Linked DNA regions of Drosophila melanogaster. The protein of the gene in region 2 interacts with the protein of the main gene of each other region in a pairwise test. Each region holds a gene or a part of one and is shown on either strand. Other genes may lie near its edges.

What was found. Proteins that work in one complex are often made in the same cells at the same time.
Region 1: the proteins of ari-2 (region 2) and Ubc10 interact in a two-hybrid assay, tested with the Drosophila melanogaster proteins (2 studies listed by BioGRID).

What each region holds. Positions count from the first base shown.
Region 1 is NT_033778.4:17,787,464-17,791,410, reverse strand, and holds Ubc10 (ubiquitin conjugating enzyme 10), read left to right. Parts: upstream 1-2,000; 5' UTR 2,001-2,308; coding exon 2,309-2,773; 3' UTR 2,774-2,997; downstream 2,998-3,947. Other genes in the region: CG5033 (uncharacterized protein), read right to left, coding at 1-114, 178-1,492, 1,563-1,664; aft (adrift), read right to left, coding at 2,998-3,947.
Region 2 is NT_033778.4:22,207,781-22,218,809, forward strand, and holds ari-2 (ariadne 2), read left to right. Parts: upstream 1-5,054; 5' UTR 5,055-5,660; coding exon 5,661-5,739; intron 5,740-7,101; coding exon 7,102-8,405; intron 8,406-8,465; coding exon 8,466-8,612; 3' UTR 8,613-9,484; downstream 9,485-11,029. Other genes in the region: Alp2 (alkaline phosphatase 2), read right to left, coding at 1-189; Alp8 (alkaline phosphatase 8), read right to left, coding at 1,222-1,724, 1,783-2,476, 2,539-2,943; CG11291 (uncharacterized protein), read left to right, coding at 3,661-4,403, 4,458-4,641; CG30278 (uncharacterized protein), read right to left, coding at 9,738-10,208, 10,261-10,617; Oatp58Da (organic anion transporting polypeptide 58Da), read right to left, coding at 10,743-10,917, 10,976-11,029.

The DNA.
Region 1 (3,947 bases), 4.4 Mb from region 2:
TGCCAGTGGCCACCGCAATAATAGACAGCTTGGGATTTGGACACCAAGCCACACAGCGTACCACTTCGTCGGTCTCGATTGTGCGAATGCAACGACCTGTTGCAATTTCCCAAACTGTGAGGTGAGATGGATTAGTAAGAAGATATCTAAAAGGTTGTCAATTAAATTAGTACTTACTCTTGACGGTTTTATCATCCGAACCGGAGACGAGGTACTCTCCCTTGGGCTCCACACTAACAGACCGCACCAGATCGGTGTGGCCACGGTAAACCATACTCTCCACCGTGGGAAAGGGTTGCAGGTCACGCGGCGAGGGCAACTTGGGGATAAGGTACTCGGCATCGATGTTCAGCTTGACACGCTTTGCACGGGGACACAGGTAAAGATCCAGGCAACGAAGGAAACGCTCCCGAAGGTATCTCGAGTATGCGGGCACCTCCCTCAGCGACTTGAACTTCTGTGGCATGAAGTGCAGCTTGCGCTTGTGTGGCTCGTCCTTTAGTTTAAGCCACTCCTTGGTCTCCTTGGCATCGAAAAGATACTCTGGCGGTGGATTGTAGGACTCGGCATGACCGGGAAGGTCGCGTTTGGGCGCAGAGACTGGATCGTGGATGCGGCGCATGTGTTCCCGACTGGTGTCCGTTTCCCACAGCATGTAGAACTTGGGACCGCGCTTGGCCTGCTTCTCGCGTTCCACTTCCTCAGTGGTCTTCATCCAGCCCATTTTGAGGGCGTGCACCATGCGAGAGACGCGCTTTTTCTCGGAAACTGAGGGCAGGAAAGAGCGTTTGTGGTCGGGTACGTTCTTGATGGGCATCTTTTCCACCTCCGATGTGAACCATTCGATCCAGGGCTCATACTCTTCGTGATCCTTGTTGGGTATGCGACCCGAAACGATGCGCTTGATCAGAGCAATGTCCTCGTCTGTTAGGCGCACATCCTGACCGGTAAGTGGATCCTTGACGGTACGCCAAAAGTCTGGGTCCTCGATCTTACGCAGGAACTCATCAATTTGATCTCCTTGTGGTGGTTTAATAATCTTCTTGGCATCCCAGTCGTAACCGATGTGCTTGTATTCGTCGTACCAGTGCATGGGTATGTTGCCTACAGTATTTCTTATGTCCTCCTCGTCGGAGGTATCTGAATCCTGATACTCAGGCTTCGAGCTATCCCGTTTCGGGAGCTCTGCTGTAAGGGCTTTTTTAGACGCGGCACCGCTTCCACTGGGCTTATCGTCTGTTTGCTTTGACTTGGAATCCTTCTCCTCATCTTCCACTTCCTCTCCATCAGTGCTTTCCTCCTCTTCATTATCCTCTTCATCACTACTTTCTTCATCTTCCTCAGCTGATGAAGATTGCTTTCTGCCCAAGTAGTTGCCCTCCTCATCGCTCTCGAACTGCAGTTCCTCACTGGAATCCGAGTGGTATTCCTGGTCTATGCCCTCGTCATCTGTTGAATCTTCGCCGGGATCTTTTACAGCTTGCAGCAGGTCCTTAAAGAGCACAAACACACATGCAGGTCATTTTGAAATGACTTTTTATATCACTGTCAATGGGTCTTACCTCCTCCTCCTCCTCGTTTTCGGAAGCCTCGGAACTGGCCACCACTTCATTTGTGGGTTCCGAATCCTTTCCTCTGCGTTTCAGAGCTAGTTTTTTGGTCATTTTGAGGTAAAAACAAAACTAACGCGGCGCACGTGTTGCAGTCAGCGATAGCGATGGGAATCGCCTGAAACGGTTGCCTATCGATTGGCTTGCCGCCACTGCTGCTGGTAATCGGTTACAAATCCATTTGGAAACAGCAACCCTTTTATTTTCATTTGTTACCTCTCTTAAAATATACATCTATAATAAATACTTTCCAATAAAGATTTATTTAGTATTAAACATAATATTACAGCCGTTGCAAGTTGCAAAATCAAGACAAAGTTATACATGACCAATGTATATGTATACCAATTGCAGCGCCGTTGCGAGCAAGTCTGCAAAATACCCTAACGCTAATTGGAAGATTCTTCAACGAACCATTTTCAGCGAAATTCGCAGACTTACGTGCGGATTTTTTTGGGCCAGTGCGAAAACCAAAGGTGACACCCCGCAACTGGAGCACTAGGAGCTCACCAACAACGAAACACCGGCGGCTGAACGAGAGTATTACATATCCGGAAGACAAAACCATCGATTTGCAGCTCACACAAGGGCAAACAAAAGTGCACACGCACACATTGGCAAGGTGGCCCCCTCCTCTTTCCGTTCCACACACACCTACGCACACACCAGCATAAGAGAACCCACACATAGACATCACGATGACTGCGCCGCGACGCCTGCGAAAAGAATTGAGCGATTTGCAGGGCAACGCACTGAAGTCCTTCCGGGACATTAAGGCGGACGATGACAACCTGCTGCGCTGGACGGGATTGATTGTCCCGGACAATCCGCCGTACAACAAGGGCGCCTTCCGCATCGAGATCAACTTTCCGGCGGAGTATCCTTTCAAGCCGCCCAAGATTAACTTTAAGACACGCATCTACCATCCAAACATCGATGAGAAGGGCCAGGTGTGCTTGCCCATTATCAGTACGGAGAACTGGAAACCGGCCACACGCACCGACCAGGTCGTGCAGGCACTGGTGGACTTAATCAACGACCCTGAGCCGGAGCATCCGCTGCGGGCGGAGTTGGCCGAGGAGTTTCTTAAGGATCGCAAAAAATTCGTGAAAAACGCCGAGGACTACACCAAGAAGCACAGCGAAAAACGTCCGGCCGACTAGCGGATAGGCGGAGGTAGAGCTGGAGGAGGTGGGCCAGTCCACAACCCATGTGTACCCTTACCCCTTAGTCTTGTGATTTTTCTGTTAGTTATTTAATTTTCATTCTTGATCCATGAAAAACTATCCTCAGAAAACATTTAAGCAGATATTTCCCCGGCAGAGTACCTAGTTTTGTAAAAGTAGCACTGTAATTTGATGCAAGTGAGAAATACATGTTCGTTATGTTAAAATACAGCTGCCGACTCTTGGATGGAACCGACATCTGAGTTGGATGTCGGAGCTACGGGCATGGGAAATGATTCCTCGCCCAACATGCTACGGAAGCAGGTCATTACAATGCTGTTGTTGTGCTGAATGAGGGCCTTGCTGAACTGGTTCTTCTGCAGCTCCTTAATGTCCAGCAGGCTGTGAATGGCCCCCGCCTGCTCGTCCTTAAGAAGTTCCAGCACCTGTTCCAAGGCACTGTTAGCCGTATCTTTTAGCTTACTCAACGTGAGAGTTTGCGCTTGATTGCTATTAAAACAACAATCCTGATAAACGCTCTCTATGAGAAATAAGAGCAGCGACGCCGCGTAATGGGTGAGAAACAGGAACTTGTGGAAGACAATGCTGTCGGGCTTCAATTTCTTTACTTCTTCCAGGAGATCAATGAAAAAGCGCTGCTGGGCGGTGTGGAATGCCTCGTCTTCTGTTGGTGGCAGGTAGCATAGTGTCTTGCTTTCCAACTGGCACTTTGGCGCAGACTGCCAGACAGGGTCGAGTTCAAATGTGTCCAGGATGCGAAGGCGCAGAATGAGTATTGGTTCCGAGGCAAACATGCTGCTTTGCAGGCTCTGAACAGGTGCTCCTCGTGAAATGTGAAGATTCAAGGGTGCCGTTCTGTTCTTAACGTATGAATACGGTGTTCTATTGTTAAGACACTTCTCCAGTTGATTAAATTCCCGACGCAAGCAGTAAATCTGCTTGAGAAGGTCACCGTGTTTCAAGGACTCCCTTTCTGTGTAGGAACCGCCATAGACAGGCACTTGGAATCCCAGAGCCTTACTGGTGGCCTCCTTGTCCACGATGCACAGGCTATCTTCTAATGGCTTCACTTTGTATAGACTGTAGTAGGTGTTCGCGACAAGACTGCGCAGGTGATGAAGATGTCTCAGATAATGACGATCATTGGACT
Region 2 (11,029 bases):
GGGATCCATCTCCTCCGGCGGAGTGTACTTGCCCGTGGCCACGTCCGTGGAGAACCTCAGCTTGCTGGCTTTCTGACCCGTCAACTCCAACACATTGTGCACTTCCTGGACTCTACCGAGTGCTGTGCCAACAAAGGCCAGCAGGAATAGAAAGATCGGATAAAGGCAGCGCCTCTGGGAGATGTGCATCTTACAACTGCAGTGATACCGAACGAACTACAACGATCCCGTCTAATTTCCAGGTCTTATATGCCCTGCACCGGATTATTGCATTCAAAACAAGGAATACCTAAAATTAGGTTTATTCCCACTTTATACCCCTTGGACTTATCTCTGCTGGTACTCCCGACTTCTAGGAAGATCAGCTGTAAGTGACATGACCATCCCTCTATAAAACCACTACCCGTTGTAATAGTAATGGGTTATGAGATCACTCGACTTTCGTTTGGCTGAGCTTATTATCCCTAAAGTGCTGAGATCACCTGTGCAAATGTTTATTCCAGCTATCTGAATTAGTTTAGTCACGTTTGCGTTCGTAAAGATATTGGCCATGATGATCCAACTCTCACGAGCCTAATCTACAGGAAACGTGTCGCGTGAACAAGTTGTTGTTGAAATGGTTGCACACTATAAAGAACAACAACTTAGAGCCCGAAACCCCAGAACCCTAAACCAAAATTTCTCTTTTTGAATTGGTTGATGAAATTATCGAAAATATTATTCAACATATTGGATATAGTTCAGATTGCATAAAACGTTTTACACGCGTCTAAATGTAGACTCATATAAGATAAATGTTATCTTAACTGTCGTCTTTTCGTGCCATATTCTCAGATAGCTTAACTGTCTCCGAAAAATCTCAGTTTATATTTACACAATCCTTAAGTCATTAAGGTTTATGGTTATAAGGGGTAATTCAGCCAATAGGCTGGCTACCAGTTCAAAAGCATATGGCAACACTCGCCATAGTTTAATTTTTGAACCCAAGCCTACAAAGATCTGAAGGTTATATTTTGGGGTTATATTTTGTCTATGTCTTCATTGGCAATATTGATTAAAATCTCTTTCCATGGACCAGGTTTTCCATAGGGCTTTTCAAGACTACCCATTCTAGTATCTTAATTAATTAATTCAAAACATACACACATTCATTATGTGTGCTACATTTTTATTACAGAAAGAAGTTGTTGGCGAACATTGAAAACAGATTTTTCTGCCTTCTTAGTTGTCGCAGACCTGCTTTCCGCTTCCAATGCACGCAGCATATGCCATCAGATGGGGAATGGTGCTCTGCTGCATCACTCCGGTGAAGAGGTGACTCTGAGGTCCGGAGGCGAATATGCCCACGTCCTCGCCGGAGTGGACGCCCTGATCCTTGGGAATGTAGCTGGGGGTGATGGCGTCGTCCGAGCCAAGGATATCGTCCAAAGGAATGCGCTGTCCGTTCTCATCCAGATACTGATTGGGTCCAGCTGCATAGTTCAGAACCGAGTACTGCACTCCGTTGATGTCGGTGTCATGTTGATTGATTCCCAGGATGGGTGTTCCTCTGCCAGGATAGCCGGCTATGCTGACGGCGTGTCCGTGATCAGCGGTCACCACAATTAAAGTGTCCTCGATGTCCGTCATGTCACGGGCCAACTGAATGGCCTTCTCGAATTCCAGGGCCTCATCCAGAGCATAGCCAGCTTTGGTGTAGTGGTTGCCATAGTCAATTAGACCACCTACAAATATTTCGGAATATAAATACTTAATAAAAAGATTATTTCGTGAAAAACCCACCTTCAATGAACGCAAAGTATCCGTGTTCCTTGTTCTGGCTGAGCTTCTTGATGGTCACCTCAGTGAGTTCGGAGAGGGTTGGCTGGTAGGTGTCATCAGCCTCCAAGTGGAAGTTCATTAGCTTGGACTGGAAGAGACCAATGACACTGGACACTGCTGACACGTTCAGTTTAAGCAGCTGATTGCGATTGGTGACCAAGACGCCTCCATCGTGGAGTCCCTGCCAGCGGGAAAGCAGATTCACTCCGTCGGATCGCTCACCAGGGTTTCCGTGAGAATCAACGATGGAGTTGGGGAGGAACTTGCCCATTCCGCCGCCGAACATGACCTCGAAGTTCTTGCCGGGCGTCTGGGTGACAAGCTGGGTGGCCATGTCAATGCAGGAATTGGCATCCACACCATAGCTGGTCACATCCGTGTCGCATTCCCACATGCGGTTGGCTGTCTTTGCATATGCTCCCGAAGGACTGGCGTGGGTCAGGGTGGTGGTGGTCACAATACCAGTGGACTTTCCAGCATTCTGGGCCCACTCGGCGATGGAGGTCAGGCGGTTCGCGGGATCCTGGCTGGCGGTGCAGTTATTGTATTCCACTGCTGCACTTACTCCGATATTGACGATGTTGGTCTTTACGCCGCACAAATACGCGGTGGCAGTGCAGGCGGAGTCGGGCACTTGGGCATTGGAGCAGTAGGTCTGCAGGGATAATGTTTCGTCTTAGCTAGTTTATAGTTACCAGTTAGTTAACCACAACTCACCCTGCTCAAACCCGTGTAGGGGAATCGCTCGAAGCTCAGGGAGGATTCCTCACCGGTGTTTCCTTGTCGTTGTCCTTTCAGGATGCGAGCAGCTGCAACGGTGGAGAGAGGCATGCCATCTCCGAGGAACATAATAATGTTCTTGGCCTTCTGGGAATTGGGTTGTGGTAGTTGTAGCCTCTTGGTGATCTCCTCGTCGGCGATGTTGTACCAGTACTGGGGATCCATCTCCTCCGGGGGAGTGTACTTTTCGGTAGCCACATCCGTGGAAAACTTCAACTTATTCGCTGCCTGTCCTGTCAACTCCAGAACGTTGTGCACCTCCTGTACTCCACACAGTGCTGTTCCGGCCAAGGCCAGAAGGAGCAGGATTGGGAGTACTAACTGCCGCTGGGAGGAACCCATATCTAATTGCTCTGCTGCTGATGAAATATCACTTACTACACCGAATTTACCGAAAAGTACGGACTTATATACCTTGATTACTGTGCTCCCAGACAAAGATGCCTAAATTTAGGTTTATGGTCCTCTGGGCATATCTCGTCTGGAATGTCGTATCTTTCATAATATCAGCTCTGTCTAGCATGGTGCCCAGTTAGGTAGGCAAGGAAAGGGTATAAGCTATTCAACTATCATACCCCGTTTTCCACCATCTAAAGCGTATCTTTTGGTTCGTTGGGATCCATTATTTGACCTTCGTTACTTCAAAAGCTACAAATACGCTGCCCATTTGTCTTTCTCATGATTCCCAAAATGGTAGACTCACCTTTGCAAAGAACTTACCGAGCATTCTGAACCATTTCAGTCACGTTTGGGGTTATAAAGATCTTTAAGAGTATTATGATCCTAATCTTAGTAGAACGTGTAGCTAACTTATCACAGCATTTTTGCGCTTTCACTCTGGGTGGTATTTTCGACAGCATCTCGTGGCCGAAGATTTTATTAGAAAGAAAACATTTTTATATAGTATCACTTTACTTTTGCCAAATAAACTTTTTCGTATTCCTTGCTATTTTATGATACTCTTATATGGCAATATGAAATTTTTAATCTTTGAAAATAATGTCATAAAGTACTCAAAATTTTAATATTTCACATTCTAAATTTAATCAAAATTGTATTATGTTAAGGCGCAGTCTAAGCCATCTGGACAAGCTGCCGAAGGCAAAGGTGGCCGAATGGCTGGCCGGGATCGACACCATTATTTGCAGCACGGATGGGGTGCTGTGGCAGGAGAATACCCCCATTGAGGGCTCTGTAGAGGCATTCAATGCCATAATTTCAAAGGGAAAGCGATGTCTCATAGCCACCAACGAGTGCTGCCTAACAAACAAGGATCTGTTCCAGAAGGCCAAGTGCCTGGGCTTCAATGTCAAGGAGCAGGACATTTTCAGCTCGTCGGGTGCCATTGCGAGTTACCTTAGCGACCGGAAGTTTAAGAAGAAAATCCTCGTTTTGGGTGGTGACGGTATCCGCAAAGATCTGAAAGAGGCCGGATTCTGTTCCGTGGTAAACGATCTGCAGCCAAATGACCAGAAAAAAATCGACTTCGTCAGGAGCTTAGTTCTCGATCCGGATGTGGGAGCTGTTTTGGTGGCCAGAGACGACAACATGATAGCGAACGAGTTGCTTGTGGCCTGCAACTATCTTCAAAATCCCAAAGTCTTGTTCCTTACCACTTGCATTGATGGATTCCAGCCATTTGGGAAAAAGAGGATCCCAGATGCCGGATCTCTGGCCTCTGCCATCGAGATAATTGTACAACGCAAGCCTATCGTTTTGGGCAAACCGAATCAGCGGATTTTGGGCAAGTTGATGAAGTCTGGCGAAATAAAGCCCGAAAAGACGCTTGTCATTGGAAACTCGTAAGTTCAATGATTACTTTTATTGAGGATCATACTTTATCCTCTTTCCTTTAGGCTTAAATCAGACATTTTATTTGCAAGTATATGTGGTTTCCAATCATTATTGGTGGGCTGCGATAACGGAGCGATCGAAAAAGCCGAGAAAATTAAAAAAGAGGGAGATGAGAAGAAAATGAAACTTGTTCCAGATGCTTTTCTCTCCGGTCTTGCTTCTTTTGGGGAGTATTTATGCATCTAGGTGATGTCGGGCAAGAAAAGCGATTTCCATATCCAAAAAACATACCCAGCTGACCAAAAAGTAATTTAGATCATATTCAAAATTCAAACTAAGCCGCTCAAAAGCTGAACAGCTGTTTTGTTTCTGAGCACTCCTGTGTGCTAAATGATTTCGGTATTTTGGCTTTTAGCACAAGTCGCGAGTCAGTGCTACCAGTATATTTGTAAATTTTTAGTTTTAAAATTTGTAATCTAAAATAGTAAAGCAAATTGCCAGTTTTCTGTTGAAACTAATAGTTTTGCATCAATAATCGCGAAGAAAAAGTTGAATTAATGTGATAATAAAAAAATACATGTTGTTGGTATATTTTTGGTATTTGATTTGATTGCTTCGTGGTCGCACTGAAAGAAGAAGAGTAATAAAACATCGAACTATCGAAGAACGATATGCCCCGATAGGTTCGGACAAGACAAAGAACAAAATGTTCTCTGCAAAAGCTGTGCTCGCTTAAAAACGCAAAAAGTCAGTGCATCTAGTGCATTGTCAGTGGTGCATAAGATTGTTCTATAAATAGCGAAAAATGAAAATAAACTGCAGGCGAAGTAGAAAAAACACCTTGAGTTGAGTGCAACGGCTGTGCGAGTGTGTGTGCGTGAGAGCGAGAGTGCGCTCGTGTGTGTGTGTACACATGCATGTTGATAAACGAAAATAAAACAAGGGACCGCCCCCCGCCGTAGAATAGCCACCCCGCAAAGTTCATCACCCTAACCAGAATCGGTGGCACTGCATCGCGCTAAATCGGCCACTTTCCATTATCCGCATCCACCGCCCCTCCCGCTCTCTGGGTCCATCATCCACCTCCTGCGAAAACAACAACAGCAACCACCAGCGCCCTTACAACAACTGTTACAAAAGAGCAAGAGAGAAGACACCCCGCACTCACACTCACACGGAAGCAGTGAGTGTCCTCGCCAGAAACTCGAATTCCCAACCAAACATCCCGAATCTGAGGCCCAAATCTTAAGCGCCAATCCGCCGGAATGGACTCGGACATCGAAATGGATATGGAATCGGACAACGACGGGGAGTACGACGACGACTACGACTACTACAACACAGGTAAGTGGAAACTAGTACCTGATCTAGAGGGGCACTTCCCCCTGACAACAATCGGCCATCGATTTAACTGTGGCCAAATTAGGGGTACGAGTGTATCTGTGAGGAAGTACACACACACATGTCGGGCTCTTGGTTTGGTTATTCACCTTTTCGGAAGGAGGCCCGCAAGACCTGGGAATTTGCATTCAGCACTTGACATTCGCCTTGGGTTCCATGACCAAACCCCACACCCCCCATTTGATCTCCGCCCTTCTTCGCTGACCATGAAGCTTAAATTATGGAATTGAACTTGAAACAAACACACACGCACGTAGCTGCACGGCGAGAAAATTGCACTGTGTAATAGGATAAATGTTTAGTTTTAAAATGTCAAATCTAGGCCAAACTAAATGATTACATTTGGTACATTTCCCAAAGCAATTCTAATGATGATTTGATACCTCAATTTAGAGAATTATGTGATAGGGCTTGATTTTCAAATGGTTTTATAACATGAACTCAAATCAATATTGATTTAAAAGGGGCAAAATAATATAAGAATATTACTAAAGACTTGATTTCTCTCAGTGCATGGGCAAGTACAATTGGTAGTTGCGAGTTGGGACTGATTGCGAGGCTTGTGTTTTGTGGCTGGCTTCATTATTGCCCGCCACTCTGCTCACGCTCTTCGTAGCTCCACAACCCACACAAGCACACATTAACACACACACCACGAACACCAGCTCAGGTGCGTGCTCAAGTACGCAGTTGCATTCTGTTGTGTGCCGCTGTTCCGTCAACTCGGTCTCCGCTTCTTGACCTGTCCCTTATTGTTCCGACCTGGCCAAGACGCCCCCTAACTCAACCTTCAATCGGATACCTCATATCGGTAACATCGTAACGTCGAGCACTTCTATGGCAGCCTTGTCGCGCGGTTGTTTTCTCGAATTAGCCAATGTGACTAACAAAATGCAAACATGATTACCGGCTGCATACACTGTAATCCCTTTTGATCCATACATGTCAGATTAACATAGAAGATATTCCCAAAGTAATAATGTTTCGTCGGTTTCAACCGATCAATGTAAGTCAGCCATTGCTTAACTTACAAACTCAACTCAACCTTCGTAACTCTGGAACCAGTTTTGTACAATAAGGGATTAAAAGTGCCCTATTGTATATAACTGCAACTGCTAACTCAGGGTTCGTTTGAAATCCACCCTTGCTGTCTTTCAGTCTGATTTTGGTTTAAAATACAATCAGTTAGCTTAAATAACCAAAAGAAAAAGTGGAAACTGTCCTATCAAAGCATAATAGATTTATGATTTATAAATGTTATAAAGTTCAATTATATTATAATACTAATATCCTTTTCTTCTTCAGGCGAGGACTGCGATGTGGAGCGTCTGGATCCGAAGCGGGCCGACCCGGAGTACTTTGAGTACGAGTGCCTAACCGTCGAGGACATCGAGAAGCTGCTGAACGAGCGCGTGGAGAAGCTGAACACCATCCTGCAGATCACACCCTCGCTGGCCAAGGTGCTGCTGCTGGAGCACCAGTGGAACAATGTGGCCGTCGTTGAAAAGTACCGCCAGGACGCCAATGCACTGCTGGTGACGGCGCGAATCAAGCCGCCATCGGTGGCAGTGACGGATACGGCTTCGACGAGTGCAGCGGCGGCCAGTGCCCAACTGCTCCGACTGGGGAGCAGCGGGTACAAGACGACGGCATCGGCGACACCACAGTACCGCAGCCAGATGTGTCCCGTTTGTGCCAGCTCGCAGCTGGGCGACAAGTTCTACAGCCTGGCGTGTGGGCACTCGTTTTGCAAGGACTGCTGGACCATATACTTCGAGACGCAGATCTTCCAGGGAATCTCCACGCAGATCGGCTGCATGGCCCAGATGTGTAATGTTAGGGTGCCCGAGGACTTGGTGCTGACGCTGGTCACGCGACCCGTTATGCGGGACAAGTACCAGCAGTTTGCATTTAAGGACTACGTCAAGTCACACCCGGAACTCCGCTTCTGTCCCGGGCCCAACTGCCAGATTATTGTGCAATCATCGGAGATCTCCGCCAAACGTGCCATTTGCAAGGCTTGCCACACGGGCTTCTGCTTCCGGTGCGGCATGGACTACCACGCACCCACCGACTGCCAGGTGATCAAGAAGTGGCTGACCAAGTGCGCCGACGACAGCGAAACGGCAAACTACATCAGCGCCCACACCAAAGACTGCCCCAAGTGTCACATCTGCATTGAGAAGAACGGCGGCTGCAACCACATGCAGTGCTTCAACTGCAAGCACGACTTCTGCTGGATGTGCTTGGGCGACTGGAAGACGCACGGCTCCGAGTACTACGAGTGCTCTCGCTACAAGGACAACCCCAACATTGCCAACGAGTCGGTGCACGTGCAGGCGCGCGAGGCGCTGAAGAAGTACCTGCACTACTACGAGCGCTGGGAGAACCACTCCAAGTCTCTGAAACTCGAGCAACAGACGATCGACCGGCTGCGCCAGCGGATCAACTCGAAGGTGATGAACGGCAGCGGCACCTGGATCGACTGGCAATACCTCTTCAACGCGGCGGCACTGCTGGCCAAGTGTCGATACACGCTGCAGTACACCTATCCGTACGCCTATTACATGGAGGCCGGTTCGCGAAAGAATCTCTTTGAGTACCAGCAGGTGAGTCGCAGTTCGGCTATTCTTTAACTGGTTGCCCAATAATGTATTAATTCCGTGCAGGCACAACTGGAGGCCGAAATCGAGAATCTGTCGTGGAAGATAGAGCGCGCCGAGACAACGGACCTGGGTGATCTCGAGAATCAAATGGACATCGCTGAAAAGCGCCGCACCACGCTACTGAAAGACTTCTTCCCAGTGGACGCATAGGCAACCGTCGAGCTTCCAGGGCCACCAGAACGGACAGCCTGTCTTGTTTAGCACAAACACTCTTTGATTGACTGCTGACAGGTCGACGTGACGCGACAGTATAGAGACGCTTATTTAAATTAAATTATACACATATTTACATGTATCCATCTAGTAGTAGGCCCAACGACGTGTAGCTAATTTTTAAATTAAACTAATAATCAAGTGCATATAGACTAGAAAACGTAGCATAGAGCATAGTCGACTACTCGAAGTATAATTACTATAGTTGTGACATTCGAAATCACTCAAAATGATCGGTGTAACTGCAATACAACGCCTTGCGCAGAACGTTAACGATATACAGTATCTATAGCTAAAGCCCTAGCGATACCGATACCGGTAGCTATACCATAACTATAAAACTAACTTTAAATCTAGCAACTGACTAACTGACAAACCAGACGCATTTCAGTGGCCAAGTGTTCCAACAGTTTTCCAAAAACTAGCCCAAACGACCCGATGAAATGCAGAAACAGTAACAATTCTAAATGTATAGCGCCGCAAGTCAAGCAATTATAGATCAAAGACCGCCTAAGCAGATCGGCTCATCGGTTAGACCCTAAGTTTTAAACCTTGTATTAGCCCCGCGTGAACAGCATCAAGTATTCGCAATCTGTATCTCGTAACTAATCGCAGCACATCAATCGAACGCAAAAGTCTTAAGTAAGAACGAAGATAGATACTCCCCGTCCCCGATCCCGTTCCTTTTGATTCTCACTCGATTCTCGATTAACTTTGTAAGCTGAATCATAAATTATATTCTAGGATTACGCTATGTATGTATGCTTATGCGACTGAATTTGAATTAAATTTACACTAGATATACAACTATTCAACTGACTTTTCGACTGTGGGCTGCAAGCTTACGATTTGGGTCTTGTGCTTAAAGCTTTGGAGAAGCTCATACGAAGCTTGGATTGAGTGTTTTAAGGATAAGCTTTCACTCAAGTTTCAAGTTTGGGTTTTGAGCCGAGTTTATTTTTTTTAGTGATTGAGTACGAGCTATATTCCAACTTATCTTCCTTGATTTCGTTGTTATTCAGATTGGATGTGCTTAGTTAGTCTTCGATGATGTTTTTGCTATTATTTTTTACCCTTTTTATTGCCGAACAGTGAACTCTTTCTGCTGCTCTTCCGGCTCTTTCGGCTCTTCCGGCTCTTCCTGCTCATCCGACTCATCCTAACATCAGGCGCCAAAGGTGGTTTCTGCTTCGCAAGTTGGCTGGCTAAGGTGAACAACCGGCACTCGGAATGCTCCTTCAGCAGACTGTTGGCGAACTTCTTGACTCCCGATATCTTGGTCACCCTCACGTTGTTCATATTTTCCACTTTCTTGGCGGGATAGACCTCCACTTCGCAGCAGTTCTTGATCAGCAGCAGGTCGCTGTTGTTTGTGATGGGATACCGGTAGTAAAGTTCATTTCCGCAGTCCAGGCAATTCTTTTTTGTGCGTCTCAGCTGGAATTTCATCGGGAAGCACCGACCTACTATGGTGTTATTGTCCAGGATAACAGAATGTTTGTATGTGGGCTTGGGAAGGGGTCGCTTGGTCCACTGTGAAAGAAAAATTTAAGTAAGGAACTTGTATCCTTGAATTACCACAGACCTCATTCAGATGCAAATAGGTTTTGAGTGGCCGGCATTGCGCTGAGCAGAGATTAGGGTGCAGATTCTGCTCCTGGGCCACGCACATGGTGCAGCATCGCAGCTTGTCCTTGTCGGATTCGAGAAGCGGACGTCCCTTGCTGCACTCCGCCCGGATGTTGATCTCCTGACGCACAGGTCCATCCGGTTCAATGACCGCCTTAACAACCTCCGCCTGGGGCTCAGGCAAGTCTGCTGCAGGCGGTGATACCCTGTAATCGATGCATGGTCCGCAGGTGGATTCGAAGCACTTCTTGCATGGACCGTCAACCCAATTTTTTTTTATCCACCGCCTACAACTGTTCTCCGGAGCGGACATTTTGAAGGCCGTACAATTTTTTAGCCGGGAAACGAGTAATTTTGAAATGACATGGAATAATCTGATAAATTGAAGCTTTACTCTAAGCTCGTTTATTTAGCTTAACAAATAATTACATTTTAATTCTACTCGGGGTTTGAATCGATTGTTTTCATTTCAACCTCCTTGTTTTTTAAACTGTCTTTGGGTGACGACTCCTCTTCATCGAAAATTTTGAGATTCTTTGCGTGATACCACACTGCAATATTCAAGAAACCGCCCAAAAATATGAAAAATGCCGCCGAAAGATTTAAAGCATATCTGAAAAGAAAATGGGATTACTAGGAATTTTCAGATTTCAGTCTATAAGATGACGCACCTCATTGATTTTGTGTCATAGAGCCAACAGTTTCCCTTGTTGGAGCATGTCTTG